2 linked regions of the Anolis sagrei genome follow. The protein of the gene in region 1 interacts with the protein of each later gene in a pairwise test. Links are inferred from orthologs where the notes say so. Each region holds a gene or a part of one and is shown in the gene's direction. Other genes may lie near its edges.

What was found.
Region 2: the proteins of BLMH (region 1) and NUDT12 interact in binary tests that used the Homo sapiens proteins (3 or more experiments, as listed by UniProt). The two-hybrid records come from large-scale screens. The link is inferred for Anolis sagrei from reciprocal best matches to the Homo sapiens genes BLMH and NUDT12.

What each region holds. Positions count from the first base shown.
Region 1 is NC_090031.1:33,769,611-33,785,874, reverse strand, and holds the start of BLMH (bleomycin hydrolase), read left to right. Parts: upstream 1-9,994; 5' UTR 9,995-10,116; coding exon 10,117-10,132; intron 10,133-12,686; coding exon 12,687-12,884; intron 12,885-14,476; coding exon 14,477-14,586; intron 14,587-16,264. UniProt on the Homo sapiens protein: The normal physiological role of BLM hydrolase is unknown, but it catalyzes the inactivation of the antitumor drug BLM (a glycopeptide) by hydrolyzing the carboxamide bond of its B-aminoalaninamide moiety thus protecting normal and malignant cells from BLM toxicity.
Region 2 is NC_090022.1:249,815,084-249,831,116, forward strand, and holds the start of NUDT12 (NAD-capped RNA hydrolase NUDT12), read left to right. Parts: upstream 1-9,203; 5' UTR 9,204-9,280; intron 9,281-13,013; exon of another isoform or gene 13,014-13,157; intron 13,158-13,691; exon of another isoform or gene 13,692-14,064; intron 14,065-14,932; 5' UTR 14,933-14,935; coding exon 14,936-15,141; intron 15,142-16,033. UniProt on the Homo sapiens protein: mRNA decapping enzyme that specifically removes the nicotinamide adenine dinucleotide (NAD) cap from a subset of mRNAs by hydrolyzing the diphosphate linkage to produce nicotinamide mononucleotide (NMN) and 5' monophosphate mRNA.

The sequences.
Region 1 (16,264 bases):
AATTCTATCATTGGTGGGGTTCGGAATGCTCTTTGATTGTAGGTGAACTATAAATCCCAGCAACTACAACTCCCAAAATGTCAAGGACTATTTCCCCCAAACTCCACCAGTGTTCACATTTGGGCATATTGAGTATTCATGCCAAGTTTAGTCCAGATCCATCCTTGTTTGAGTCCACAGTGCTCTCTGGATGTAGGCGAACTACAACTCCAAAACTCAAGATCAATGCCCACCAAACCCCTCCAGTATTTTCTGTTGGTCGTGGGAATTCTGTGTGCCAAGTTTGGCCCAATTCAATCGTTGGTGGAGTTCAGAATGCTCTTTGATTGTAGGTGAACTATAAATCCCAGCAACTACAACTCCCAAATGGCAAAACCAACCCCGCCCCTCAACCCCACTAGTATTCAAATTTGGGCATATCAGTCCAGTGAATGAAAATACATCCTGCAGATCGGATATTTACATTATGATTCATAACAGGAGCAAAATGACAGTTATGAAGTAGCAACGAAAATAATTGTATGGTTGGGGGTCACCACAACATGGGGAACTGTATTAAGGGGTCACAGCATTAGGAAGGTCGAGAACCACTTATAATATCACCAAGGATGACCCCCTCACCTATTTCATAGGAAAACGGCTACCAAACAGGAGCTTTTTTGTTGAGTTCCAGGGCCAGAGAAGCAGATGGCGGAAACAGAAGAACGGCCTACCTCAGGGGAGCGTGCTTGCCCCATCCATGTTCCACATCTACACAAATGACCAGCCACTGCCAGAAGGGTCAGAAAGTTTCATCTATGCTGACGATCATGCTATCACCACCCAAGCAGGGAGCTTTGAAATGGCTGAACAGAAGCTCTCCAAAGCTCTCAGCAAGAATGCAGTAGACTCTTTAATGCTTTTAGGCCCTGGATACTGCAAGTTGCTTCTCCTGAGAATAATTTATAATACCACGAAGGACTACTCACTCCATCAATGTTTAACATCTACACAAATGAACGGCCACTGTCAATTTTCATCTACGCTGACGATCATGCCATCACCGCTCAAGAAGGGAGCTTTGAAATAGCTGAACAGAAGCTCTCCGAAGCTTGAGGTGCTCTTACTACCTATCACAGGGAAAACCAGCTGATTCCTAATCCATCTAAGTTTCATCTATGCTGACGATCGTGCCATCACTGCTCAAGAAGGGAGCTTTGAAATGGCTGAACAGAAGCTCTCCGAAGCTTGAGGTGCTCTTACTGCCTATCACAGGGGAAACCAGCTGATTCCTAATCCATCTAAGTTTCATCTATGCTGACAATTGTGCCATCACTGCTCAAGAAGGCTTTGAAATGGCTGAACAGAAGCTCTCCAAAGCTTGAGGTGCTCTTCCTGCTTATTACTGGGAAAACCAGCTGATTCCTAATCCATCTAAGTTTCATCTATGCTGACGATCGTGCCATCACCGCCCAAGAAGGGAGGTTTGAAATGGCTGAACAGAAGCTCTCCAAAGCTTGAGGTGCTCTTACTGACTATTACTGGGAAAACCAGCTGGTTTTTAATCCATCTAAGTTTCATCTATGCTGACGATTGTGCCATCACCGCTCAAGAAGGGGGCTTTGAAATGGTTGAACAGAAGCTCTCCAAAGCTTGAGGTACTCTTACTGCCTATTACAGGGAAAACCAGCTGTTTCCTAATCCATCTAAGTTTCATCTATGCTGACGATCATGCCATCACCGCCCAAGCAAGGAGCTTTGAAATGGCTGAACAGAAGCTCTCCAAAGCTCTCAGCAAGAATGCAGTAGACTCTTTACTGCTTTTAGGCTCTGGATACTGCAAGTTGCTTCTCCTGAGAAGAATTTATAATACCACAAAGGACTACTCACTTCATCAGTGTTTAACATCTACACAAATGAACGGCCACTGCCAATTTTCATCTACGCTGACGATCATGCCATCAACGCTCAAGAAGGGAGCTTTGAAATGGTTGAACAGAAGCTCTCCAAAGCTTTAGGTGCTCTTACTGCCTATTCCAGGGAAAACCAGCTGGTTTCTAATCCATCTAAGTTTCATCTATGCCGACGATCGTGCCATCACCGCCCAAGAAGGGAGCTTTGAAATGGCTGAACAGAAGCTCTCCAAAGCTTGAGGTGCTCTTACTGCCTATTCCAGGGAAAACCAGCTGGTTTCTAATCCATCTAAGTTTCATCTATGCCGACGATCGTGCCATCACCGCCCAAGAAGGGAGCTTTGAAATGGCTGAACAGAAGCTCTCCAAAGCTTGAGGTGCTCTTACTGCCTATTCCAGGGAAAACCAGCTGGTTTCTAATCCATCTAAGTTTCATCTATGCTGACGATCATGCCATCACCGCCCAAGCAAGGAGCTTTGAAATGGTTGAATCAGAAGCTCTCCAAAGCTTGAGGTGCTCTTCCTGCCTATTACTGGGAAAACCAGCTGATTCCTCATCCATCTAAAATGCAGAAGTGTGCTTTTCACCTTCAGAACAGACAAACATCTCAAGCTCTGAGGAAACGATCTATGCTGACGATCACGCCATCACTGCTCAAGCAGGGAGCTTTGAAATGGTTGAAGAAGAGCTCTCCAAAGCTTTGGGTGCACTTATTGCCTATTACAGGGAAAACCAGCTGATTTCTAATTCATCTAAATTTAATCTATGCTGACGATCGTGCCATCACCACTCATACAGTGAGCTTTGAAATGGTTGAAGAGACGCTCTCCAAGCTTTAGGTGCTCTTACTGCCTGTTACAGGTGAAACATTGATCAGCCAATGCCAGAAGGGATGGAGAGTTTCATCTATGCTGACGATCGTGCCATCACTGCTCAAGAAGGGAGCTTTGAAATTGTTGAACAGAAGCTCTCCAAAGCTTGAGGTGCTCTTACTGACTATTACAGCTGATTCCTAATCCACCTAAAATGCAAACGTGTGCCTCTCACCTTAAGAACAGGCAAAAATTGTGTTATATAGCTTTATTGGTGCAAAAGGAATAATAAGGTATAGGATTATTCAAAAAGAAAGGCAGCATGGCTTGAACGTTGGACAAAGACATTGAGAGACCTGCATTCGAGTCCCTGCTCAGCCACTTGGGCAAGTCACACTCTCTCAACCTCAGACTAAGGTAAGGCCAAGTCAAGACGCTAAATCATACAACGACTCAAAGGTACACAACAACAAAAGGAGTCCTAACTCAGCAGATTCCAAAGAACGACAAGCAGATCACAGTCGGCGTAATCTAAAGTGATCTCGATTGGAACCCCAAAGAATAACATTCCTGTCTTTGCGTGTAAATGGATGTGTGACTTCTAGGAAAAGGAGCCCGGCGGCAAATGTCACTCAAAGATAAGGCTGACTCAGTCCGTGTTGCGACAGCGAGAAAGGCAGGTACATTAGCAGGAAATTAACTGGACAGGAAACTGTGGCACCGGGATCCTTTAATGCCTTCCGTGCGCATTGGAATACCTATGGCAATTAACGTGAGGTCAAATTACATTAACGCTACAGCATTTTTGGCTCACTTGTCATCATCATCATTATTAAAGGAAGCTTGGTGCAACAAGGAATTGCGGGTGGGGATAATGGGAAATATTTATATGCATTGCTTTTAGTGTTCTGAGCCTCTACTGATCTTGATCAGGAAAGAAAAGCAGGAAACTACTACTACAACAACAACAGTAGCAACAGCAATAATAATGATGTTTTTCAGGTGGTCAAGGTGGTCCCAGTGGTGATCGGCACACTGGGTGCAGTGCCTCAAGACCTTGACCTGGACTTAAAAGCAAAATCACCACCAGTCAGGTGGTCAAGCCAGTCAAGGAGGTCCCAGTGGAGATCGGCAGACTGGGTGCAGTGCCTCAAGACCTTGGCCTGGATTTAAAAACAAAATCACCACCAGTCAGCTGCAAAAGGCCAGCGTAGTCGGTCAGGTGTTCAAGCCAGTCAAGGAGGTCCCAGTGATGATCGGCACACTGGGTGCAGTGCCTCAAGACCTTGGCCTGGACTTAAAAGCAAAATCACCACCAGTCAGGTGGTCAAGCCAGTCAAGGAGGTCCCAGTGGTGATCGGCACACTGGGTGCAGTGCCTCAAGACCTTGGCCTGGATTTAAAAACAAAATCACCACCAGTCAGCTGCAAAAGGCCAGCGTAGTCGGTCAGGTAGTCAAGCCAGTCAAGGTGGTCCCAGTGGTGATTGGCACACAGGTGGTCAAGCCAGTCAAGGTGGTCCCAGTGGTGATCGGCACACTGGGTGCAGTGCCTCAAGACCTTGGCCTGGACTTAAAAGCAAAATCACCACCAGTCAGCTGCAAAAGGCCAGCGTAGTTGGTTAGGTGGTCAAGCCGGTCAAGGTGGTCCCAGTGGAGATCGGCAGACTGGGTGCAGTGCCTCAAGACCTTGGCCTGGATTTAAAAACAAAATCACCACCAGTCAGCTGCAAAAGGCCAGCGTAGTCGGTCAGGTGGTCAAGCCGGTCAAGGAGGTCCCAGTGGTGATTGGCACACTGCGTGCAGTGCCTCAAGACCTTGGCCTGGACTTAAAAGCAAAATCACCACCAGTCAGCTGCAAAAGGCCAGTGTAGTCGGTCAGGTGGTCAAGCCAGTCAAGGTGGTCCCAGTGGTGATTGGCACACAGGTGGTCAAGCCAGTCAAGCTGGTCCCAGTGGTGATCGGCACACTGGGTGCAGTGCCTCAAGACCTTGGCCTGGACTTAAAAACAAAATCACCACCAGTCAGCTGCAAAAGGCCGCCATTGTCGGATCTGCACACATTATTCGCCGATGCATCACACAGTCCTAGACACTTGGGAAGTGTCCGACGTGCGATCCAATTCAAAAGCTAGCATTGTGATCTTCTGCATCTGGGCCAGGTGCCGAGCTGTTCTCAAGCTCCAAATCATGGGAAATCTCTGGTAGCAATTGTTTCTGGTGTACTAAACTTGTTGTGCATCAAAATAAGGTGGTGAGCGTTTTGGGTCTTGCTTAAGATAGAAAAGCAGGATCTAAATATAATAAACACAGTAGTAGTAGTAGTAGTAGTAGTAAGAATCATAATAATATGTGGTCCTTTTCTTTTGTTTTCTGCCCTTGTTGGCAACTCAATGGGAAGGCGACACTCCTCAAGCTTCTCTCTTCCTTCCGTAATTGTTCCATCAAAACATATTTCAGAAACTTGGCCGCTTTTAACAGAAAGCCAAGCGGGAGGCACACGCAGGCAGTATTTCACTGTCAAAGTCAAATTACATCTTTCACTGGGCGTGTGGCAAGGTTTTATGGCAGGTGGAGATATTATTATTATTACTATCCTTATTTGCCCTGCCGTGGCACACTTTCCAGAAGCGATCGGGTGGCTGCCCTCTTTGTTCCCAGGCCGACTTGATGGCCACTAATTACACACCTTTGGGTTTCAGTCAAGAGAGGCTGGATCTATAATGCCATCCAGATTATCAAAGCGGACAATCCAGAGCTCGCTGACGTACTTTACTTACTTAGGCGATTTCTCGTCTGAGTATGTTGGTCCTCCAAGTGTAGTGTATACATAGAACAAGAATAGCCCCCTGATTTCAAAGCGGCACACGTTGAGTAGGAAAACTATCCTTTTTTATTGAAGATAAGTAAAAGCAGCAAAGTAAAAAAGCACTGGAATAGGTAAATCCAATTAGGTAAGAAGATAAGCAGGAACAAATTAGTCCAAGGTATGGTTCAGCAAAGTTCAAAAACAAAGTCCAGTCTAGTAACATCCAAAGAAACAGGGAAACATTGATCCAAGACATGAGTATGTAATCACAATCATAGAATCAAAGAGTTGGAAAGACCTCATGGGCCATCCAGTCCAACCCCATTCTGCCAAGAAGCAGGAATATTGCATTCAAATCACCCCTGACAGATGGCCATCCAGCCTCTGTTTCAAAGCTTCCCAAGAAGGAGCCTCCACCACACTCCGAGGCAGAGAGTTCCACTGCTGAACGGCTCTCACAGTCAGGAAGTTCTTCCTCATGTTCAGATAAAATCATAGAATCATAGAATCAAAGAGTTGGAAGAGACCTCATGGGCCATCCAGTCCAACCCCATTCTGCCAAGAAGCAGGAATACTGCATTCAAATCACCCCTGACAGATGGCCATCCAGCCTCTGCTTAAAAGCTTCCAAAGAAGGAGCCTCCACCACACTCCGGGGCAGAGAGTTCCACTGCTGAACGGCTCTCAGAGTCAGGAAGTTCTTCCTAATGTTCAGATGGAATCTCCTCTCTTGTAGTTTGAAGCCATTGTTCCACGTCCTAGTCTCCAGGGAAACAGAAAACAAGCTTGCTCCCTCCTCCTCCCTGTGGCTTCCTCTCACATAGTTTATACATGGCTACCATATCTCCTCTCAGACTTCTCTTCTTCAGGCTAAACATGCCCAGCTCCTTAAGCCGCTCCTCGTAGGGCTTGTTCTCCAGACCCTTGATAATTTTAGTCGCCCTCCTCTGGACACATTCCAGGTTGTCAATATCTCTCTTGAATTGTGCTGCCCAGAATTGGACACAATTCCCTAGATCTAGACACTATGCTCCTATTGATGCAGGACAAAATCCCATTGGCTTTTTTTGCTGCCACATCACATTGTTGGATCATGTTTAACTTGTTGTCCACGAGGACCCCAAGATCTTTTTCACACATCCTGCTCTCGAGCCAGGCCTCATCGTCCCCCATTCTGTACCTTTGCATTTTGTTTTTTTTCTGCCAAAGTGGAGTATCTTGCATTTGTCCCCGTTGAACTTCCTTTTGTTAGTTTTGGCCCATCTCTCTAATCTGTTAAGAGAGAAACGGTCAAACCATACAGCAAGAAATCCTTAAACATTAATCTTCCAAGCAAGGCTACTATGAGACAAGAGCAAGAACTTAGCAGGATTCTGAAACGATGCTTCATCTGACTACATTTCCCATTGTTGGAACTTTATATCCTCACATTAAGCCATTCCAAGCACTGAGAAATTGGTTTCGTTTTCCCTGAATGCCTCTCGTCCTTATCTGTCGATGACCATGGCATGGAGGAGAAGCAGCGCATGGCTTTGATGGAATTGTTTTAAGAGTTGAGTGTGACATCTGTAGACAGTCCACGTTTCACAGGGGTAGAACAAGATTGGGAGGACAATAGCTTTATAAACAAGCCCTTGGTCTCCCGACGGATGTCCCGGTCCTCAAACACTCTCTGCTTCATTCGGAAGAATGCTGCACTCGCAGAGCTCAGGCAGTGTTGTGTTTCGGTTTCTGGCCTTGCAGAGGGATTGGCTGGTGCCTTTTGCTGGAAGCGCACTTTGGGTTTCTCACTGTTCAATGAGAGGCCATCCTTCTTGTATGCTTCTGCAAACGTGTTGAGAGTGGCTTGTAGGTCTTCTACTGAATGTGCACCGAATACATTATCATCAGCATATTGGAGTTCTATAAATGATGTTGTTGTGAACACTCTCTGCTTCATTCGGAAGAATGCTGCACTCGCAGAGCTCAGGCGGTGTTGTGTTTCAGTTTCTGGCCTTGCAGAGGGATTGGCTGGTTCTTTTTTCTGGAAGGGCACTTTGTTTTTCTCGCGGTTCAATGAGAGGCCATCCTTCTCGTATGCTTCTGCAAGCGTGTTGAGTGGCTTGCAGGTCTTCTTCTGAATGTGCACTGACTATGTTATCATCAGCATATTGAAGTTCTATAACTGATGTTGTTGTGACCTTAATTTTGGCTTTCAGTCTGCTGAGTAAATAGCTTGCTGTCTGTCCAATAATCCAATTGAAAGCAGATAATCTGGATTTTATATAGCAGTGTAGATGGAGCAAGAGAGTGCCGTTACCTTCCCACCGAAGCGGTACCTATTGATCTATTCACATTTGCATGTTTTCAGACTGCTAGGTTGGCAGAAGCTGGGCCTAACATTGGGAGCTCACCCCGCTCCCCGGACTTGAACCTGCGACTTTTTGGTCAGCAAGTTCAGCAGCTCAGCAGTTTAACCTGCTGCGTCACCAAGGGGTCGTATTTCTTTTTAATGGAGCAAATCTCATGTTTTTCCAAATGGAAATGATTATTGCTAAACAATTATACACAGAGTTAGAGCAAGAGAGCAGCCAGGTGCAGAATCAGCATACTATTTACAAACGGAACCGGTAAAGCGTCTTCGTTGCATCTCCCTATAATTTCCAGGTAATTAAAAATCCATATTAACCGCCTGAATATGGAGCAGGAGATCGGCGACTCCGATGCGGGGACTGTTTGGCCCATCTGGGAACGAGGTTTTTAATTGAAACGGAGGACGGCTCCTGCCCTAATGAGGGTTTCTATCAGGTGGAAGGTGTGGCTCATACAGTCTTGAGTCTCGCCTGAAATTAGCATTCATTAGCATAAGGAACATTTAATCTTGTTTACTTGAATGCAAAGGAGAGTGGAGGGCAAGTCCTGGCATTGCAACGGAAGGCCGTAATTAAATTCGGTGGAAGTTACAGCAAGAAAGCAGTTCTTCTATCTATCACTGTCAGATGCATACCAAGGCAAAGGTTTCCCCTTGACATTAAGTCCAGTTGTGTCAACTCTGGTGCTCATCTCCGAAGAACCAGTGTTGTCCCTAGACACCTCCAAGGTCATGTGGCCAGCATGACTGCATGGAGCGTCGTTCCCTTCCCGCTGGAGTGGTACCAGTTCTATCGTTGGTGGTGTTCAGAATGCTCTTTGATTGTAGGTGAACTATAAATCCCAGCAACTACAACTCACAAATGGCAAAATCATAATTTTTTGAGTGATGGTCACTCCTCGTGTTGTGAGACGTTTTGTTGCCAAATTTGGTGTGATTTCGTTCATTGGTTCTTTTGTTTTTAAGGTACTCATTATGCACAGAGTATTTATATATATATATATATATATATATATATATATATATATATATAATATTATATATTATATATATAGATGGTGTGTGTGTGTGTATATATATATATAGTGTGTATGTGTGCATGTATATGTGTGTGTGTATGTATATGTTTGTGTGTGTGTGTATATATGGTGTGTGTGTGTGTATGTGTATATATATATGTGTGTGTGTATATATATATGGTGTGTATGTATGTGTGTGTATATATGGTGTGCGTATATGTATATATGTGTGTGTGTATATATATGGTGCTCATGTGTGTATGTATGTATGTGTATGTGTGTGTATATATATATAGTGTGTATGTGTGCATGTATATGTGTGTGTGTATATATATAGTGTGTGTATGTATGTGTGTGTATGTATATAGTTGTGTGTGTGTATATATGGTGTGTGTGTGTGTATATATATATATGGTGCGTATGTGTATATGTATATATATGTGTGTGTATATATATGGTGTGTATATATGTGTGTGTGCATATATATATATATATATATGGTGTGTATGTATGTGATATATAGTGTGTATGTATGTATGTGTGTGTGTGTGTGTATATATATATATATGGTGTGTGTGTATATACATGGTGTGTATGTATGCATGTGTGTGTGTATATATATATATATATAAAATATGGATTGTATGTGTATGTGCATATATATATGTGGTGTGTATGTATGTGTGTGTATATATGGTGTGTGTATATGTATATATGTGTGTGTGCATATATATATATATTTATATATATATATGGTGTGTATGTATGTGATATATGGTGTGTATGTATGTGTGTGTGTGTGTGTGTATATATATATATATGGTGTGTGTGTATATACATGGTGTGTATGTATGCATGTGTGTGTATATATATATATATATATAAAAATATGGATTGTATGTGTATGTGTATATATATATATGGAGTGTATGTGTGTGTGTATATATATATATGGTGTATATGTATGTGTATGTATGGGTGTGTATATATATATATATATATGGTATGTATAGATACAGATAGATGATAGGGATGGTAGAGAATCAAATTCGTGGCGTCCCCTTTAAGAGACTCTCTGCTCCGAGAGAGAGAGAGAGAGAGCGAGCGAGCGCGTCCCCCTTTTGTCCCTCCCGGCTCCCCGTCGCGGGCCAGGCGGGCTTCCTGCTTCCGAGGCCATATAAAAGCGGCTTCCGGTGCCGCTGCCCGGCTCTTCTTTGGCTCTTCTCCGCCTCCACCATGAGCAGCTTCCCAGGTGCAGCGGGGGACAGGGGGCAGCGGGACCCCAGGCAGGCAGGCAGGCAGGCAGGGAGGGAGGGAGGGAGGGAGGGAGGGAGGGACTCTGGGCATGTGCAGAGGGCCGCCCCTTCCCCTTCCCCTTCCCCACCCGCAGGAGGGAGGGATGCCGTGTAGGCCGAGGAGGAGAGGGGCCCCTGAGCATGTGCAGAGGGCCTCCAGGGAGGGGAGGGGGGGGCCCTCACCTTCTTTCCCCCTCTTCCCCTCTCCTTGGTCCTGAAGGGCTCCTGAGCACGAGCAGAGTGCCTTTGTGTCTTCTGCATTGGGAAGAGACAGGCACAGGAAGCAAGAGCAACACATTCTTCCCCAAAACAGGGTGACCTTATCCCTTGAGAAGACCCTGCAAGGTTCAAAATTAAGATAACTAGCCTATTCTGAATCTGTTCTCTCTGCTTTATTCTCTTCTTCTCTCCTCCTACTTTATTCTTTCGTTCCTCTCCTTTCTTCTCTTCTTTTCTCTCCTTCCCTTCTTCTTCTTTAGTCTTATTCTCTCCTACTTTATTCTCTCGTTCTCGTCCTCCACTTCATTCTCTTCTCTCCTACTTTATTCTCTTCTTCTCTCCTTCCCTTCTCTTATCCTATTCATCTCCTTTCTTCTCTTCTTTTCTCCCCTTCTACTTTATTCTCTCGTTCCTCTCCTTTCTTCTCTTCTTTTCTCTCCTTCCCTCCTTCTTCTTTAGTCTTATTCTCTCCTACTTCATTCTCTCATCCTCGTCCTCCACTTCATTCTCTTCTCTCCTACTTTATTCTCTTCTTCTCTCCTTCCCTTCTCTTATCCTATTCATCTCCTTTCTTCTCTTCTTTTCTCTCCTTGCCTCCTTCTACTTCAGTCTTATTCTCTCCTACTTTATTCTCTCGTTCTCGTCCTCCACTTCATTCTCTTCTCTCCTACTTTATTCTCTTCTTCTCTCCTTCCCTTCTCTTATCCTATTCATCTCCTTTATTCTCTTCTTTTCTCTCCTTGCCTCCTTCTACTTCAGTCTTATTCTCTCCTACTTTATTCTCTCGTTCCTCTCCTTTCTTCTCTTCTCTTCTTTTCTCTCCTTCCCTTCTTCTTCTTTAGTCTTATTCTCTCCTACTTCATTCTCTCGTTCTCATCCTCCACTTCATTCTCTTCCTGACTGTGAGAGCCGTTCAGCAGTGGAACTCTCTGCCCCGGAGTGTGGTGGAGGCTCCTTCTTTGGAAGCTTTTAAGCAGAGGCTGGATGGCCATCTGTCAGGGGTGATTTGAATGCAATATTCCTGCTTCTTGGCAGAATGGGGTTGGACTGGATGGCCCAGGAGGTCTCTTCCAACTCTTTGATTCTATGATTCTCTCCTTTATTCTCTTCTTCTCTCCTTCCCTTCTCTTATCCTATTCATCTCCTTTATTTTCTTCTTTTCTCTCCTTCCCATCTTCTACTTCAGTCTTATTCTCTCCTACTTCATTCTCTCGTTCTCGTCCTCCACTTCATTCTCTTCTCTCCTACTTTATTCTGTTCTTCTCTCCTTCCCTTCTCTTATCCTATTCATCTCCTTTATTCTCTTCTTTTCTCTCCTTGCCATCTTCTACTTCAGTCTTATTCTCTCCTACTTTATTCTCTCGTTCTCGTCTTCCACTTCATTCTCTTCTCTCCTTCTACCTTAATATCTTATTCTCTCCTTCCCTTCTCCTTTATTCTCTTCTCCCCTTCCCTTCTCTTACTACCTTCATCTACTTTATTCTATCCTTCGCTTCTCCTTTCTTCTCTTCTTTTCTCCCCTTCCCTTCTTCTACTTTAGTCTTATTATCTCCTACTTTATTCTCTTGTTGTCTCCTTCCACTTTATTCTCTTGTTCCCTTCCTCTTCTTTATTCTCTCCTCTCCTGCTGCCTTATTATCTCCTTCCCTTCTCCTTTATTCTCTTCTTCTTTACTTTATTCCCTTCTTCTCTACTTCCATTCTCTTTCTCTTACTTTATTCTCTCATCTCATCCTCCACTGAATCTATTCTCTTCTCTCTACTTTATTCTCTTCTACTTTATTCTCTTCTTCTCTCCTACTTTATTCTCTCGTCCCCTTCCTCTCCTTAATTCTCTTCTTTTCTTTCCTTCCCTTCTTTTACTTTAGTCTTATTCTCTCCCACTTTATTCTCTTGTTCCCTTCCTCTTTATTCTCTTTTCTCCTTCTACTTTATTCTCTTCTTCTCTTCTACTTTATTCTTATTCCCTCCATTCCTTCTTCTACTTTATTTTCTTTTCTCCTACTTTATTCTCTCCTTCCCTTCCTGTCCTTCTCTCCTTCCCTTCTTCTACCTTATTCTCTCCTTTTACTTTATTCTCTCCTTTCCTTCCTCTACTTAATTCTCACAACAACCTTGCAAGGGAGTTTCCCATTTGAGCCTATTTCCTGGCCCTACCTTCCTTCCTTCCTTCCAAGGAAACCTCACACCTGTTTGTTACTAACCTGGTTTTATTTGGAAGGTGGATGGCAAATCGGCTATTTCGAGTGCTGCCAATTCAACTTACAGTCTGCCGTGTTTTGTTTCCGGACAGGGTTAAGCCTGAAGAAAGCCGAAGCTTTCACCCTCAGCCTGAAAGCGGAGCCGCGGTACCACTTGGCCCAAAATGTGGCCACCTGTGGGGATCCGCTGGAGCTGTGCCTGGAGCGGAGCGTGGTGCAAGACACCCTCCAGGTGTTCCAACACGCCATACCTGCCGAGGGCAAACCTGTCACCAACCAGAAAAACTCAGGTAAGGAGGAGGACGCACCTCCTTATACCTGGCTGGCTCTTCATAGCTTTTCAAACTGTGTAGTTATTAGGTTGTTGTAAGTTTTTTGGGTTATCTGGCCATGTTACAGAAGCATTCTCTCCAAACGTTTCACCTGCATCTGTGGCAGGCATCCTCAGAGGTTGTGACTATAGTTATTAAGGCTTTGGGTTCCAGTCCTGGGAGGAAAAGCAGTATACTATTACTACTAGAAGTAGTAGTAACAACACAAGTCACAATAACAATAGATGAAAGCTAATTCCAGCTCTTCTGGAAGATTTATTAAATTTATATCTTTTTTCATTTTGTGTCAGAAGCGACTTGAGAAACTGGCCATCTGCAAGGACGTTTCCCAGGGGACGTTTCCCCAAAGTCGCTTCCGATGGGAGAGAATTGGCCGTCTTCAAGGACGTTGCCCAGGGGATGTTGCCCGGAAGTCGCTTCTGGTGTGAGAGAATTGGCCGTCTGCAAGGACGTTGCCCAGGGGATGTTGCCCGGAAGTCGCTTCTGCTGTGTGAGAATTGGCCGTCTGCAAGGACGTTGCCCAGGGGATGTTGCCCGGAAGTTGCTTCCGGTGTGAGAAAATTGGCCGTCTGCAAGGACGTTGCCCAGGGGATGTTGCCCGGAAGTCGCTTCTGGTGTGAGAGAATTGGCCGTCTGGAAGGACGTTGCCCAGGGGGCGTTACCTGGAAGTTGCTTCCGGTGTGAGAAAATTGGCCGTCTGCAAGGACATTGCCCAGGGGATGTTGCCCAGAAGTCGCTTCTGGTGTGAGAGAATTGGCCGTCTGCAAGGACGTTGCCCTGGGGATGTTACCCGGAAGTTGCTTCTGGTGTGAGAGATTTGGCAATCTGGAAGGACGTTGCCCAGAAGTCGCTCTGGTGTGAGAGAATTGGCCGTCTACAAGGACGTTGCCCAGGGGATGTTGCCCGGAAGTCGCTTCCAGTATGGGAGAATAGGCCGTCTGCAAGGACGTTGCCCAGGGGATGTTGCCCGGAAGTCGCTTCCGGTGTGAGAGAACTAGCTGTCTGGAAGGACGTTGCCCGGAAGTCGCTTCTGGTGTGCGAGAATTGGCTGTCTGGAAGGACGTTGCCCAGAAGTCACTTCTTGTGTGAGAGAATTGGCCGTCTGGAAGGACGTTGCCCGGAAGTCGGTTCTGGTGTGAGAGAATTGGCTGTCTGCGAGGATGTTGCCCAGGGGACGTTGCCCGGATGTCACTTCTGGTGTGAGAGAATTGGCCATCTGCAAGGATGTTGCCCAGGGGGATATTTATATCCCGCCTTTCTCAAGCCCGAGGGCGACTTGAGGCGGCTTACAAACTCCGGACGACCTCACCCACAGCGTGCACTCTGCCGCAATCTATCAAAACCCAAAGCCTTCCCTAGATTAAAAAAGGTCCTGCCTGGTGGTGGAAGAACAACAACAGGGAGGGAGCTGACTGGACTTCCTGGAAAGGGAAATTGCACAATTAGGGAGTGTGTTGCCGCTAGTCCTCATTGCACAACACTTTGGAGACATCTTGGCTTGGAGCATTTCCCCTCTGCTTCTGTTTTGATTGATTGTTCTCTTTCTTCAGGCCGCTGCTGGATCTTCTCCTGCCTGAACGTGATGCGCCTTCCATTCATGAAGAAGCTCAACATCGAGGAGTTTGAGTTCAGCCAGGCCCATCTCTTCTTCTGGGATAAGGTTGGCGTGCAGAAACTTTCCTTCTCCCAGCAAAAATGTCGTAGGTTGTTCGCGCTGCCTGGCCATGTTCCAGAAGCATTCTCTCCTGATGTTTCTCCTGCATCCATAGAAGGCATCCTCAGAAGTTGTGAAGTCTTGTAAACAAGAGGAACGGATATAGAACCATAGTTACAAAATACACCCAAGGGACAGCCAGTCCAACCCCAATTATGCCACATAGGAGTACACAACAACAATAGGAATGTCGTGAATTTTCCAGGCTGTTTGGCCATGTTCCAAAAGCATTCTCTCCTGATGTTTCTCCTGCATCTATGGCAGGCATCCTTAGAGGTTGTGAGGTTTTGTAAACAAGAGGAACGGAGATACAACCATAATTACAAAAGACACCCAAGGGCCAGCCAGTCCAACCCCAATTATTCCACGTAGGAGTACACAACAACAACAGGATTGTTGTGAGTTTTCCAGGTGTCTGGCCATGTTCCAAAAGCATTCTCTCCTGACGTTTCTCCTGCATCTATGGCAGGCATCCTTAGAGGTTGTGAGGTTTTGTAAACAAGAGGAACGGAGATACAACCATAATTACAAAAGACACCCAAGGGCCAGCCAGTCCAACCCCAATTATTCCACGTAGGAGTACACAACAACAACAGGATTGTTGTGAGTTTTCCAGGTGTCTGGCCATGTTCCAAAAGCATTCTCTCCTGACGTTTCTCCTGCATCTATGGCAGGCATCCTTAGAGGTTGTGAGGTTTTGTAAACAAGAGGAATGGAGACAGAACCATAGTTACAAAAGACACCCAAGGGCCAGCCAGTCCAACCCCAATAGTGCCACGTAGGAGTACACAACAACTACTGGATTGTTGTGAATTTTTCAGGCTGCCTGGCCATGTTCCAGAAGCATTTTCAGGGTGCCTGGCCATGTTTCAGAAGCATTCTCTCCTGACATTTCGCCTGCATCTATGCCAGGCATCCTCAGAGGTTGTGAGGTCTGTTGTTGTTGTTATGGGTGGTACTGTGTGTCTGTGCCTTCAAGTTGGCTTATGGCAACCTCATGGATTTCAGTGATCGACAGGTGTGGTCTTCCCAGTTCCCCTAAAATAGATCAGATGGCACTTGGATTCCTTGGTGGCCTCCCATCCAATTCTTAATCAGGACTTTCTCTGCTTAGCTACTCTGGTCCTTCTAGGAAGGACATTTCAGAGCCTGGGAGCAGCTGCTGAGAAGGCCCTGTGAGCGGGAGGCTGAACCAATGTGAAATAATGATGTTGTATAAATAATCATCAGGCATTTACATAATTTGGAATACAAATCACAGCTTTGTAGCTTTATTTCTGGTGTGGAAAGAGGGCACGGGCGGCAAAGGGATTGTGGGGAGCCGTGGCGCTTCTCCCATCATGACGGAATTTGCTGATGGAGTGATACCTTTGGCAGAAGGAAGTAACTTCTCCGTACACCCTGTAATTACTCTTTCCAACTTGCAGCCACAAGATTTGTGGTGATAGTTGCAGAGAAAGGGTTAGCTCCAGGGGGTTGGAAGGCTGACAGCTGGAGGAACATTGAAACACAGAGACGCGTTGGGAGGAAGCCTGCCTCTTAATCAAGGCCTCGCCAAGACAATCTGACATCCCGCACATACATCTCTCCAAACATTTCAATAATACCCCCCTATAGTAAAGGT
Region 2 (16,033 bases), on another chromosome or scaffold:
ATTTCTGACTACACTAACTAGGAGGCATTAAAATAGATAGTCGTCCAACTACCATTAAACTTGATTCACAAAGACAAAAAAGCAGGTGATAAACCTGCTGGTAAAGTGTGTTCTTTCTGACACTAGAGATGAGGCAAGGCCATTTGCTTGCCCTCTTTCTCCCTATTCACACAACCTCATACTTTCTCAACCTAAACTTATTATTGTATAGTGCACTGCAGACAGAGGTGGCCCTAGGTAATTTTCAACGGTGAGCAAACAGTATTTTAGCGCGCCCTCCCCCCCCCCCCCCCCAACCAATCACTGATATATATTTTCATTGTGGGAGTTCTGTGTGCCATATTTGGTTCAATTCCATCATTGGTGGAGTTATAATAATAATAATAATAAACCTTTATTTGTACCCCGCTACCATCTCCTGAAGGACTCGGTGCGGCTTACAAGATGCCGAGCCCACATACAACAATAAAACAACAACAACAATGCAGCAAAATAAATCAAAACAAAGCAATAACATTAACAACACACAATGACGCAATTAAAAACTATGGCAGGGCCAAATGTAATAATTAAAATTAAAATTTAAAAGTGCTGGTCATGACCAGGAGAAAAGGGTAGGTGTTTGGAGAGGGATGGGTTTGCAGATATCCTGAGTCTCTGATAAAGTGTGTTGGGGACAAAATGCTTATTCTGGGAAGGCACACTGGAACAGCCATGTTTTCAAGCTTCTCCTAAAAATTGCCAGCAATGGGGCTTGCCTGATATCCTTAGGGAGAGAGTTCCAGAGTCGAGGGGCCACCACCGAGAAAGCCCTATCCCTCGTCCCCACCAATCACGCTTGCGATGCAGGTGGGATCGTAAGTAGGGACTCTACAGATGAACAAAGAGATTGTGTGGGTTCGTATGCAGAGATGCGGTCATGCAGGTAGGCAGGTCCCAAACCGTTTAGGGCTTTGTAGGTAAGCACCTTCACCTTGAATTGGGATCGGAAAATGAAAGGCAGCCAGTGGAGCTCCTTAAACAGGAGGGTTGACCTCTCCCTGTAATGCCCTTTTATTGTAGGTGAACGATACATCCCAATGACTACAACTCGCATATGTCAAAGTCTATATTCTCCCAAAAGTGCCCCTGGGCAAAATCAACTATACTGCAAATGCTTACTTTGTGTAATGGGTTGAGCTGCCCCTGACTGCAGAAAAGCTGCTGCAATTCAACACTGAAAGTTTTCCCAGTCCTTTCACTATCCCCCCTGTGCCATTACTGCAAAAGAAAAGTCCAGAAAGACAGAGGAGAAGAGAAGGAAGATGGCTGTATAAAGGACTTCTTTGTTAGCTGAACTATATGCTGCATGCTAATTATTTGTTAGCAAGTCCACAAGATATGGCAGTTTGCTTCACTTGGATCAAGACTGTTCAAATTCTCCTATAATATTTCACCATGAATACAGTAGTTCCCTTTGACTTGGTTTTGGTATCAATTTTGTCAGAAGCTTGGTAGTTAATGTAATAAGCTAGCCCAAATTTAAGGAACAAGGACATCATCAATGACAACATTGATTTTGTAAGTAACGTTTGACACAAGTTATCATCACACATTTCCCCAGCAGCTGCTAATGTGATTGTTTCTGCCTTGTGCTACTTTCACAGGTGATTAAACAGAAGAGCAGTTGTGACAATTTGTAATAATGTGTTTGTGTGCAGTTAGAAAAAATAAAACTGCATTGAAATTTATGAACTGTAAAGTAAAATCACTTGTCTGATGCCTCTAAGATCTATGTTGTGCCCTACCTTTGCAAATATGTCCTAATGGCACAATTGGCATAGATTTTTTTCTCTCCAGACTTCACTTCGATATCTATGGACATGTAAATACAAATCTCATTGTGCATTGAACTAGTCATTTTAGGATCCAATGATGTAAATTAAAACTCAGCAGAACCGTGATCGCATTCACAGATGAATTTCAACAAGATTCTTTTTCCAAATTAGAATATGTATGTGAAGGTCAAGCACTGTCTGAAGAACCTTTGCTAATGAATCCATGCTACTTAAAAACAAAACAAAACAAACACCACTGATTTAAGGCAGACTTGATGCCCTCCGTGAATGAAGCATCAGTAGCTCTTCAAGTGGTACTATTCCACGCATGTCTGCTCAAAGGTTGATCCTACTGAGTTTAATAGGACTGATTCCCACTGGATTTATGGCCTTAGAGATTTTTCCCAACCAGACTAAAATGCAGTTTGACCTACATTTTTATTAAGAGGGTACATGATTTTATTAATCCTTGGCACATCTACACTGTCCACTTACTGAGGAATGTGCCCAAATCAGTTATGTGATGGCAAACACCACAAGGATCCAGAGTAATTTTAGGCAAGGCAGCCTTAATGCAACCTTGCCCCACATGAGCCAAAGTTGGAGAATACTCCAAACTCAGAGCATCCCTTGACTTTGAGCCTGTGTAAACAATTGGGCTGTTTCTGAGACAGAACCGGCCAAAACTATTTTCTTTGCCATCCCACGTTTCCTGGGCTTCAGCAGCCCAGAGACATAGGGTGGCACTCATTGTCCCTTCCTATCCTCAATGCCATGGCAGTCCCCAACCATAACACGGGTCCTACTGATCAGTGATGTCGGACAGGGTGATGGGACAATTGGGGAAGGGAAGGGAAAGGAGAGGTGAGTCCTCCATCTACCCCTTTCCTTGTCCCCCCTCCCCCATCTCCCTGGCCACCATCACTATCAGATAGCCAGCCAGAAAGGACCCATGTTGCACTTGGAGACTACCATGACAAGGAGAACGGAGGGGATGGTAAGGGTATCCAGTACTCCCTCCTGTCTCCAAAGTGATCAGGGAGGTACCTGTCTCATCCAACCTAAGACTGAGCTGGTATGTGTCAGATCAGGATAAAGGGTGAGTGTAGCTCAGCCCCTATCTCACTTCTGCAGTTATCTAACTTGAAGATAGATCTTCCATTGTTCCAGATAAACACATACACCAATGAAAAGATGTATAGATGTTATTATTTCATAGCAGTCACACAAATCAACTACCCCTAAGTAAAGGTAAAGGTTTTCCCCTGACATTAAGTCCAGTTGTGTCCATCTCTGGGAGGTTGGTGCTCATCTCCATTTCTAAGCCAAAGAGCCAGCATTGTCCATAGACACCTCCAAGGTCATGTGGCCAGCATGACTGTATGGAGTGCAGTTACCTTCCCGCCAAAGCAGTACATATTGATCTACTCACATTTGCAATTTTTTAACTGCTAAGTCAGCAGAAGTTGGGGCTAACAGCAGGAGCTCACCCAGCTCCCCGGATTCGAACCTGCGACCTTTCGGTCAGCAAGTTCAGCAGCTCAGAGCTTTAACCCACTGCACCACCGGGGGCTCCCCAACTACCCCTAGGAGATGCTGTTCTCTGATGAGATTAAGATTAGATTAAGATGTGAGAAAACTATTTATGGTTGCCAATTTGAGCCAAAGTACCACTCTGAGCAAGACATCAGGAAGAACAAAGTACCATTATTCTTGCCAGTTACCTTGGTATCAGTGTGGTCTGCTGAGAACATCAGACTTTCTAAGGTAACAACAAGTTTTAGATTCACATTGTAATTCCATAACATAGTAACACACTGTGGTTTGTTACAAGAGATACAGATTTTAAGATACCATACCATGGCTTGTTGTGACATGTTGTGGACAGAACCTGTGGATTACAGAGGTATTTAATATATAACTAATGTTCTTGTTTTTTCAACATTCGGGAGTTTAACCATTAAAACCTATCAAATTTCATAAGGTATCATGTCACAGATGTGCAATAAAATCAGGTTAGCACTACTAACTTTATGTTATTTATAGTCAACTCATATTTTATGATGGTTTTTAATGCATTTTTGAATATTTTAAATATTGTGGCAATCAGCATTGCATTACTGTCGTAATGATACCTGGGAAGACAGATGAAATCTTCCCAGAGGAGTTAAAGATCAAACACATTAAGGATTACTGGCATAACACTGTCACCAATATTTTTTCTCAAAAGTAATGAGGCACGCAAGTACCATCAACAAGCATGAAGCATTCTCTCTTTTAAAATGTTGTTTCCAATTACTGTTTTCCACTTGTCTTCTTCTAAAAGGCTTAAATGATTTAATGTCATTTAATTATTTAATAAAGTAACCAACATATAAAAATAGCAGAGTGTAAAGCAGGAAAGATTCCTTGCGGTTTTCAGTATCAGTAAGTATGGAAGGAGAGAGCGCTGGAACAAAGTTGTGAAACAATAATGTGTGTAAAGAAGAGAAACATCCTTGGAGTGTGGTCTCAAAAGAGTCTAGAGGTGAATTGGTTTTAGGATTAGTCAGAGTAAAAAAAAAAAAGACATGAAAGCTGCTGAGTTCTGCTTTTATAAATTATCATTGTTAATAATTAATTCATATTAAATATTAACAGATTTATACATTTTTGCTCTGATTTTATTCCTTGCCAGCCTCCTTGGATTTTTTTAGGTTGCATGGAAGCTTATAAATATTTTCATAAATAGGGTGATGGACAGATTGGTAGATAGTCAAACAAAATGCATGCTATGATTTGAAAAATATAGTTTGTTGCTGATCAAATCTCTTTCAGAAAACTTCTAGAAATGAAGGAGTTCTACATAAGTGCAGGATTACACTTGTGGTTGTCAATGGTTCCTTCTATACTGCCATATAATTCAGATTATCAAAGCAGATAATCCACATGATCTGCTTTGAACTGAATTATATCAATCTGTACTGCCATATAACCCAGTTCAAAGCTGATAATTTGGTTTTTATAGGGCCAGTGTTGTCAGTTTCACAGCAAAAGGGAATTCTTCAAACTCCTTAAGACTCAGGCTCCATCTACACTCCCATATAAGGTAGAGCTCTTCCAGATAGGCCCTATATCCCAGAATCTGATCCCAGGTTTTCTGTTTATCCCAGATTATCTGGCAGTACAGATTCATATAATCCAGTTCACAGCAGAAAACCTGGGATCAGACCTTGGGCTACAGGACCTATACGGAAGGGCCCATAGTTTCACACTCATTATATGGCAATTTACAAACCACTGAACAACAGATTGGTTCAAAAATTGGAAAGGAGTACAGCAGGGCTATATACTCTCACCCGACCGATTCAACTTGTATGCAGAACACATCATGTGAAGTGTCAGGCTTAATGAATCCAAGGCTGGAGTTAAATTGCTGGAAGAAACATTAGCAACCTTGGATATGCAGATGATACCATTTTGATGGCTGAAAGTAAGGAGGAGCTAAGGAGTCATGGTGAAAGAAGAAAGTGCAAAAACTGGGTTGCAGTTAAACATTTAAAAAAAAAAACAAGATTATGGCAACCAGACTGATTGCTAACTGGCAAAAAGAGGGAGAAAACATGGAGGCAGTGACAGACTTTGGATTTCTAGGCGTAAAGATTACTGCAGATGCAGACTGCAGCCAGGAAATCAGAAGACGCTTACTTCTTGGGAGGAGAGCAATGACGAATCTCGATAAAATAGTGAAGAGTAGAGACATCACACTGGCAACGAAGGTCCACATAGTTAAAGCAATGATATTCCACATAGTCACCTACGGATGTGAGAGCTGGACCATAAGGAAGGCTGAGCAAAGTAAGATAGACACTTGAAATGTGGTGTTGGAGGAAAATTCTGAGAATGCCTTGGACCACAAGAAGATCAAAGCAGTCCATACTCCAGGAAATAAGCCCAACTATTCACTGGAGGGAAGGATATTAGAGGCAAAGATGAAGTACTTTGATAATATAATGAGAAGACAGGAAAGCTTAGAGAAGAGAATGATGCTGGGGAAAATGGAAGGGAAAAGGAAGAGGGGCCGACCAAGGGCAAGATGGGTGGATGTTGTCCTTGACATGACTGCCTTGACCTTGAAGGAGGTGGGGGTGGTGATGATTGACATGGAGCTTTGGCATGGACTGGTCCATGAGATCACGAAGAGTCAAAAATGACTGAACGAATAAACAACAATATGGCAATATAGATGAGGCCTCGGTTTCCAAAATCTTCAGGGTTGCAAGTCTCTCTTCTTTGAGGTTCTTGCTTGTTCCACTTCCTTTCTTCAATAAAGGGATTAGCAGTTTCTAGCGGGCATGATGTCTCCCACTTTTATAAATGTAATGCTTGCCAATTTATACATGCACACATACACACATATACATATATCTTTGGATAGCATAGGGAAGGGTTAACACACTTGATAGGTTCTTAACTTGTAAATCAGAACAGGTACATTTTATAAGTGTAATTCCAGCCATACATGTGTATGTGTGCATGTATGCCTTGGATAGCATAGAGAAGGATTAACACCCATATGATGTTTATTTTGCTCTCTGTGCCCCTGTTTAGAAGATTTCCCCTCACTTGTTATGGAAACAAGGCTTGTTGTAGAAACAAGGATTGGCGAGAAAGCTTCAGTGGCGACACCTTTTCGACTTCTTCAGTGGCGACACCCATGATAACTCTTCCAGGAGCTAATTTCCCTTCCAAGGTGTAGATTTCCTCTCACTTCCTTACCTCATCCCTGTTCTTAACTATGTGTCATTTGTAACTCGGATGTTTGCAATTTGAAGACTGCCGGTCTATAGTGTAACTGTGCTGCCTCCTTTATAGCAATGACAATGACAACTTTGATTTCTGATCCTGCCATTTGTTCCCATTCTTTCTTCGATTTCTGCATTGTACACTGCGCAATAGTGCGCAGACTATTTATTTATTTTATTTATTTATTATTTGAACTTATATGCCGCCACTCCCCTGGGGCTCGGAGCGGCTTACAAGAACAGGCTAAAATTGAACACAATTTAAAAACAATTTAAAAACAGCAATCAAAGATCAAAGGCCCATCAAAACAGATATGTCTTACATGCCCTGCGGAAAGCTGATAAGTCCCGCAAGGCACGGACTTCAGGTGGCAGAGTATTCCAGAGTGATGGTGCCACTGCTGTAAAGGCTCTGTGTCTGGTTGCTGTTAGATGCAAGGTCTTGACACTGGGAATTTCCAACAAATCTTGGTCTTCAGAACAAAGGGATCTCTGGGTTTGGTAGTGGGTGAGGCGGTCCCTCAGGTACATCAGCCCCAGACCATGCAAGGCCTTAAAGGTGAGTACCATCACTTTGAAAGTGATCCGGTGCTCAATTGGTAACCAGTGCAGCTGTAGTAATATTGGTGTTATGTGGAATCTCATCGGAATTCCCGCAAGAACCCGAGCAGCTGTATTTTGTACCAACTTGAGCTTCCGGATCACTGACAGAGGAAGGCCAATGTAGAGGCCGTTACAGTAGTCCAGTCTTGAGATGACCATAGCCTAGGTCATCCCTGGACAGATAGGGGACCTGGGCCTCCATCGTCAGCAGAGGGTCCAAAAGGACTCCCAGACTTTTTACCAATGATGACGGGCGTAGCACCTCGCCATCCAGGGTAGGAAGCTGGATATCCCCACTGCCTGGTTGACCCAGCCATAGGATCTCCGTCTTTGCTGGATTTACCCTCAACCTACTGGCACGCAGCCATCCAGTAACGGCCTCAAGGCACTGATGGAAACAATTGGGTACAGAGTCCGGTCGGCCTTCCATCTTCAGCACAAGCTGAGTGTCATCAGCATACTGGTAACACTCAAGCCCAAAACCTCGAACCAGCTGAGCAAGTGGTCGCATATAGATGTTAAACAACAGAGGGGAGAGAATGGCTTGTTGTTCATTCATTCAGTCGTCTCCGACTCTTCGTGACCTCATGGACCAGCCCACGCCAGAGCTCCCTGTCGGCCATCATCACCTCCAGCTCCTTCAAGGTCAAGCCAGTCACTTCAAGGATACCATCCATCTTCCTTTTTCCTTCCATTTCCCCCAACATAATTGTCTTCTCCAAGCTTTCCTGTCTTCTCATGATGTGGCCAAAATACTTAATCTTTACCTCTAATATTCTTCCCTCCAGTGAGCAATATGGACTGGTTGGATCTTCTGGTGTTCCAAGGCACTCTCAGAACTCTCCTCCAACACCACAGTTCAAAAGCATCTATCTTCCTTTGCTCAGCCTTCCTTATGGTCCAGCTCTCACATCCGTAGTGACTACGGGGAATACCACTGCTTTTACTATGCGGATCTTCATTGCCAGTGTGATGTCTCTACTCCTCACTATTTTATCGAGATTGGTCATTGCTCTTCTCCCAAGAAGTAAGTGTCTTCTGATTTCCTGGCTGCAGTAATCTTTTCACCTTGAAATACAAAGTCTGTCACTGCCTCCATGTTTTCTCGTTCTATTTGCCATTTATCAATCAGTCCAGTTGCCATAATCTTGGGGGGTTTTTTATGTTTAATTGCAACCCAGCTTTCGCGCTTTCTTCTTTCACCTTGATTAGAAGGCTCCTCAGCTCCTCCTCACTTTTGGCCATCAAAGTGGTATCATCTGCATATCTAAGGTTGTTAATGTTTCTTCCAGTGATTTTTACCCCAGCCTTGCATTCGTCAAGCCCCGTACATTGCATGATGTGTTCTGAATACAAGTTGAATAGGTTAGGTGGAGAGAATACAACCCTGCTGTACGCCCTTCCCAATCTTGAACCAGTCTGTTGTTCCATGGTCTGTTCCTACTGTTGCTACTTGGTCCTTGTACAGATTCCTCAGGAGAGAGACAAGGTGGCTTGGTATGCCCATACCACCAAGATCTTGCCACAATTGCTACGAAGCCAAATATATTGTGCCTGGTGTCACTTTCCGGCCTGGGCAAACTTGGGCCCTCCAGAGGTTTTGGACTTCAACTCCCACCATTCCTAACAGCCTCAGGCCCCTTCCTTCACTAAGCGGCTGAGGGGGAAAAGGAAGGGGCCTGAGGCTGTTAGGAATGGTGGGAGTTGAAGTCCAAAACCTCTGGAGGGCCCAAGTTTGCCCAGGCCTGAGTGACTGAGGCACCCACATAACTAAAGTCTGTTACTATTATTCTCAAGTAATTTTATACATTTGAAACAGATGACAGCCCTGCAGATACACAAACATGAGCTCAACTCCTGTTTTGTTTGGAAGGGCACAGTTCTCCACAAGAAAAAGCCACTGGGGAAACAGGAAAGGCCTAAAGCCTGTTTTTTCCTGAAAGTAGGCCCTTTGGGCGAACTACAATTCCCAGGATGCCTTTCTCCTCCGCCAAGCTGAGGGGTGGAGCGTCCAAGAGAACCCGGAAGTGTCGGCGGATTGCTGGAGGCGAGGTGATTTCCTGGGCCAGGAATTAGGTAACTGGTTTTTTCAGCGCCTCTTCTCTCTCTTCCAAGGTGCAGACGGCTTCCTCTTGATCCCAGAGGCCACCTTCTCTCAATTTCTGCATTTAGACGCATTGGAGGCTTTGTTGAGCTGTCTTGCTTGGTCTTTGGTCCCGACAGTTTCCTATTCTGTCACTCAACCCGAAGTCAGCAGGAACAGCAAGGATATTGTATTGTCGAAAGCTTTCATGACCGGAATCACTGGGTTGTTGTAGGTTTTTCAAACTATATGGCCATGTTCTAGGAGCATTCTCTCCTGACGTTTCGCCTGCATCTATGGCAAGCATAGAGGTCTGAGGATGCTTGCTATAGATGCAGGCGAAACGTCAGGAGAGAATGCTTCTAGAACATGGCCATATAGCCCGAAACAACAGACCTCACAATCTCTGAGGATGCTTGCCATAGATGCAGCCCAAAACAACAGACCTCACAATCCCAACAGATCTCACAACCTCTGAGGATGCTTGCCATAGATGCAGGCGAAACGTCAGGAGAGAATGCTTCTAGAACATGGCCATATAGCCTGAAACAACAGACCTCACAACCTCTGAGGATGCTTGCCATAGATTCAAGCGAAAAGTCAGGAGAGAATGCTTCTAGAACATGGCCATATAGCCTGAAACAACAGACCTTGCAACCTCTGAGGATGCTTGTCATAGATGCAGGCGAAACATCAGGAGAGAATGCTTCTAGGACATGGCCATATAGCCTGAAAGAACAGACCTCACAACCTCTGAGGATGCTTGTCATAGATGCAGGCGAAACATCAGAAGAGAATGCTTCTAGGACATGGCCATATAGCCCGAAACAACAGACCTCACAACCTCTGAGGATGCTTGCCATAGATGCAGGTGAAACGTCAGGAGAGAATGCTTCTAGAACATGGCCATATAGCCCAAAACAACAGACCTCACAACCCCAACAGATCTCACAACCTCTGAGGATGCTTGCATAGATGCAGGCAAAACGTCAGGAGAGAATGCTTCTAGAACATGGCCATATCGCCCGAAAAACCTACAACAACCCAGCAAGGATATTACCAAAGAGTGGGTGGTATGTGAGAAAAGAAGACAGAGATGTAGTAATGCTTTCAAATAAACAGAGTAATACAGGTTGAGGTTCCCTTTTTTGAAATGCTTGGAACCAAAAGTGTTTTAGAGTTTGGAATATTTACATATACTGAGGCCCCTTCCACACAGCTGAGTAAAATTCCACAATATCTGCTTTGAACTGGAATGTATGGCAGTGTGGACTCAGATAACCCAGTTCAAAGCAAATATTGTGGGATTTTCTGCCTTAGTATCCTGGGTTATTTGGCTGTGTGGAAGGACCCTAAGAAATCTCCTGAGAATTGCAGTTTGAGTACCACTTTACCTGCCATGGCTGGAGCCCCCGGTGGCGAGGTGGTTAAACCCCTTTGCCGGCAGGTTACAGATTCGACAGGTTGCAGATTCGACAGGTTGCAGATTCGAATCGGGGAAGAGTGTGGATAAGGTCCCTCTATCAGCTCCAGCTCCCCATTGCACGGACATGAGAGAAGCCTCCCACAAGGATGGTAAAACATCAAAACATCTGGGCGTCCCCTGGGCAACGTCCTTGTAGACAGCCAATTCTCTCACACCAGAAGCGACTTGCAGTTTCTCAAGTCACTCCTGACATGACAAAAAAACTGCCATGGATCAAAACTATGGAATCCCTAGAGTTGTAGTTTTACAAGGTCTTTCTCCTTCTCTGCTCATGATGACTAGTACCTCACCAAACTACAGTCCCCATGATTTCATTTCAGGTGGTGTCAAACAGCATTAATTCTACAGTGTAGATGCAGCCTTAGAGTTGGGAGCCCAATGCCAAACATGACATTTCAGTTATGTTTCATATACACATGGCTTCGGGGGGAGGGGGGGGAATTTATACACACTGTTTTTAATAAGGTTGTGCATGAAACAAATTTTAGGTAACAATGCTTTGGGAAAGTAAAAGTATCACTCAGCTATCCAGGATTTTGAAGTCTTTCAGATTTTAATTTCTTTCATGCACAACCTTATTGTTGTATAAAACTGCATTCAGATTATATGTATAAGATGTATATGAAATATTTACCATATTTATACCCCGCCCTACTTGCCCCATAGAGGACTTAAGGCGGCTTACATACATAGGCAGCAATTCGATGCCATATGGACATACATAGTAAAATAAACATATACATTAAAACAATCATTAAAAACATAACAAAACTTAAAACCTTCAATACAAATAAACTTCATGGTTTGACTTGGGTCCCATCTCCAAGATATCCCATTTTGTACAAATATGCAAATACAAGATTTCCGCAATCCAACAAACAAAAAATCCAGCATAATTCTGGCCCCAAGTACATTGGATGGAGGATCTTAAGCCTTTAGTACATTCTGATATAAACGTGTTTGAGTCTTAAGAGCTATTTGCGCTGTGTGACAGCAATAATACAGGATGAGCTATAAATCATGTAGCCCTTCTGATGTTGCTAGATTGTAATTCCCATCAGTCCTCATCAGTGTTAATGAATGCTGATGATGTATTGTCAAAGGCTTTCATGGCCAGAATCACTAGTTTGTTGAGTTTTCCAGACTATATGGCCATGTTCCAGAAGCATTCTCTCCTGACGTTTCGCCTGTATCTAAGGCAGGCATCCTCAGAGGTTGTGAGGTCAGGAGAAAATAGTACTGGAACCTGGACATACAGCTTGGAAAACTCACAACAGACTAATAATAATAATAATAAAAAACTTTATTTATATCCCAACCTATCTCCCTGAAGATGAATTATGGGAGATGAAGTCCAACAGCATCTGGAGGGCTGCATGATTCCCATCCTGCCTGAACCAGATAATAGACAGTGCAATCCTATACATCTTTACTCAGAAACAAGCACCTGTGAATTTAGTGCTATTCACTGCTAATTAATGAAGGTTTTATGTTCATATTCTGGGCAGTTCTAAGTACAAGCAGATAGCAGACTTCATGCCTCAAAGTGAAAACACTGTGTGTGGAAATATTTGCCTAGGTATTGTATTGGAAAATGGCCTATTAGATCACTCTTATAACAAAGAGTGGATTTGCTGTAGAATTAATGCAATTTGGCAGCACTTTTAAGAGCCATGGCTCAGTGCTATAGAATCCTGGGACCTGTATTTTTGTAAGCCACCAACACATTTTGGCAGAGAAGATGAAAGACCTTTAAACTACAGCTCCCATTATTCCATATTATAGAACCATGTAAGGAGCCCCTGGTGGCACAATGGATTAAACCACTGAGCTGCTGAACTTGCTGACTGAAAGGTCGGTGGTTGAGATCTGGAGAGCAAGGTGAACTCCCACTGTTAGCCCCAGATTTTGCTAACCTAGCAGTTCGAAAACATTCAAACGTGAGTAAATCAATAGGTACCACTCTGGCGGGAAGGTATTGGCGCCCCATGCTGTCATGCCAGCCATATGACCTTGGAGGTGTCTATGGATAACATCGAATCTTCGGCTAAGAAATGGAGATGATCACAGACCCCCAGAGTCAGACATGACTAGACAAGTCAGGGGAAAACCTTTACCTTTTTTACTGAACCATGACAACTAAAGTGATGCCAAGCTGCCTTAATTCTACAAATGCACTCACTACAAGATCCTAGTCCAGATTAACATGGCTGTGTCTTTGAATTCTTTTTGTCATCAAGTGGAATTTCAACGTATGGTGACCCTAGAAATGAGAGGTCACCAAAAGAGCAAACCATGAACAACCTTGCAAAACATCCTGCAAGCCTTGCTCAGGGCCTGTTACTGAATCATCAGACCATTTGTAGTGTGGAGGGCTGCATCAAGTAAGCATTATACGTCCATACCTACGTATATCCTCTCTCTCTCTCTCTCTCTCTCTCTCTCTTTGACAATGTACAAGGGGGTATCCTCAGTGGTATCACACTTGTGACCCTCCAGGTGTTTTAGACTTCAGCTCCCATAATTCCTGCCAATTGGGCAAGCTGGCTAGTGCGTCTGGCTCAAACATTTGAAGGGCAATATGTTTGACATCTCTGCCAGTCCTTAGTGTCCCATTCAAAACCTAAGCCATAGTTTAAAACTGCATTGTATGGCCAATGTAGACTCATATAATGGAGTTCAGTACAGTTACACTGCATTACATGGTCTACATTGACCATGTAATGCAATTTTAAACTGCAATATATATGGCAATATAGATGGGGCCCTACTCTCTCTCCAGTTGTCATGTTCTGGCAGGGACTGCTATAGCTTCTTAACAGTAAGGAGGAGAGACAACAGGGAAGCAAATCAAAATTAGATAACTTGCTCCTCATGGCCCAGGAAGGAAAGCAAATGGAAGTACACTCACAGAGTGTACCTTCCTGTTTTTCTCCTTGAAGCTACACTGGTTGAATTCTCTCTTTGGCTTCTCTCTGCACTAGTAAGCAGTGACGCTGACAGCAGAGGGGCGTGACAGCTATTGGGTGAAAGGCTTTGAACATTACGCAAAGGGTTGCAGAATAGAACTTTGCACTCTGTCCTGAAAGTGACATACAAGGCAGATAAACCACCCTAAAGCATGCGTATGTTGTTAAAGAGATTCCAGCGATTGTATCCTATGTGTGATAGCAGTCGTTTTCCTGGAGTCAATGTGGGTCAAGCTAGACATTGTCAAAAATCCTTGTGTGTATTCTGGGTTTTCCGACATCAATGTGATTTCCTCAGAGACACGTGCCTGAGTTTTGCAAAGTAAGCTTGTAATAATCTTTCATAAAATATAAAAATGCTCCAATGCAATTTGTTTTATTCTGTTGTGTTTAATGTGTTTTATCTGGATTGCTATATTTTATGATGCTCCTATTTGTGTTTTGTTTTATTTATTTATTGTTTTGTTTTATGTTTTGTGGACATTTTGTCCCATATGTAAGCTGCCTCGAGTCCCTTCGGGGAGATGATGGTGGGGTGTAATAATAAAGTTGCTATTATTATTATTATTATTATTATTATTATTATTATTATTATTATGTGAGAAAAAAGCATTTGCTATAAGCAAAAACCTTCACTACTCAAGGTATAACAACTTGCAAGTATGTTCAAAGTACTTCTATTTTGACCTAGTCCTTTCTAGAAAGATTGATCTCTGATAACTTAAAACATCTTTTATGCTAGTTTTTTGAGCCACCTCTACCTGTTATATACTTACTTACTTACTTACTTACTTAGGCAATCCGTTGTTGGCCGAGTAGGATAGTCTTCCAGGATGAGAATTCTTGTGAGTCTGTAGGTGGCTGTGGAGCCCTATTCTTGATCTGCATCTTCTTCCGCAGTGAGGGCATTGGTTTCCAGGTGGAAGGCGGTCCTGGTCGGGGTTGGCTTGACGCGCCTTCCTCTTGGCACATTTTTCTCTTTCACCCTCCATTCATGCCTCTTCAAATTCTCCAGCACTGCTGGTCACAGCTGACCTCCAGCTGGAGCGCTCAAGGGCCAGGGCTTCCCAGTTCTCAGTGTCTATGCCAGAGTTTTTAAGGTTGGCTTTGAGCCCATCTTTAAATTTAGATTTAAAGATGACCTGTTATATACTAATAACATTTTAAGCTCTGTGTTTTTATCCACACAGATAATGGCAGATATCCAAAGGAATCCAAAACAACGATTGATTTCTGAGCTTCACAATTTAGCTGCTACGGGAGACAAGGCCAGGCTTGTGGCCCTGCTCAGTCATTCTCCATCCCTTATCAATGAAACTGCGAAGAATGGTTGGACAGCATTGATGTTTGCTGCTAGAAATGGGCACTTTGACATTGTACAGGTTCTTCTAGAGAAAGGGTAATTAAAATAGAAAATTAATTGTTCCTTGTATGCCATATTAAAAGTTACAACAGAATGATTGTATCGGGGTACCTGTCTTTCCCTATATTCACAATTCTAATAGACTTATGCAGACGCTGAACTTCAACGCTAAAATAAAAAAATGAATGTAAACATAAAGTCATGTCTTTTTATATCTCAGACTCTTTTACTCTAGGAATAAACAATATATAATTATCATTTTGCAAACCAGGGAAACAAAGGGTGACATCCATTAACCTATGAACTATCCGTTTTAATGTGTGACACACTTGTAATATGGGTTCTTTTCTAAAGATAATTAGCAGATAGCAAATATTCATGCTAGACTATACTGTTAATTCAATTACTGACTATTCAGTTTGTGATGGGGTAGCACTTAGGATCAAGTACTAGTTACACTTACATATACGTAAATAGATAAGTATTAGGATTGAGATATAGTGGTGTTTATTGGCCAGTTCTGTACATATTTAGAAGTAAATCATGCTGAACATTGGATTGCAGCCCTAAGCATACAATTGAACAGTTTAATTGTATAGTAAAGGAAGTGGGGACCCCTGCTGTCTTCAAAGTTGCATCATTTTTCTCCAGTAGCTCAGTTTGCAACTCCAAAGCAGCTTTGCCAGACAAGCATGAGTTCTACAAACCGTTTGTTCTCCATCTGTTTCAGTTTGATTTTGCCCATTGTGTTACACTTAATGACTCTTTGTGGATTTGGCTCAGTGAAAGAAAGCATTAATGTTGGAACAAGAAACACATGGTAATTAGAACAAAAAATCTTGATTTTCTTCATGGCTTGCAAGCAATATTTGCAGTAGTTCAGCAACCCCTAGCTGGGAGCCATGTGTGCTTTATTCAGCTGACATTC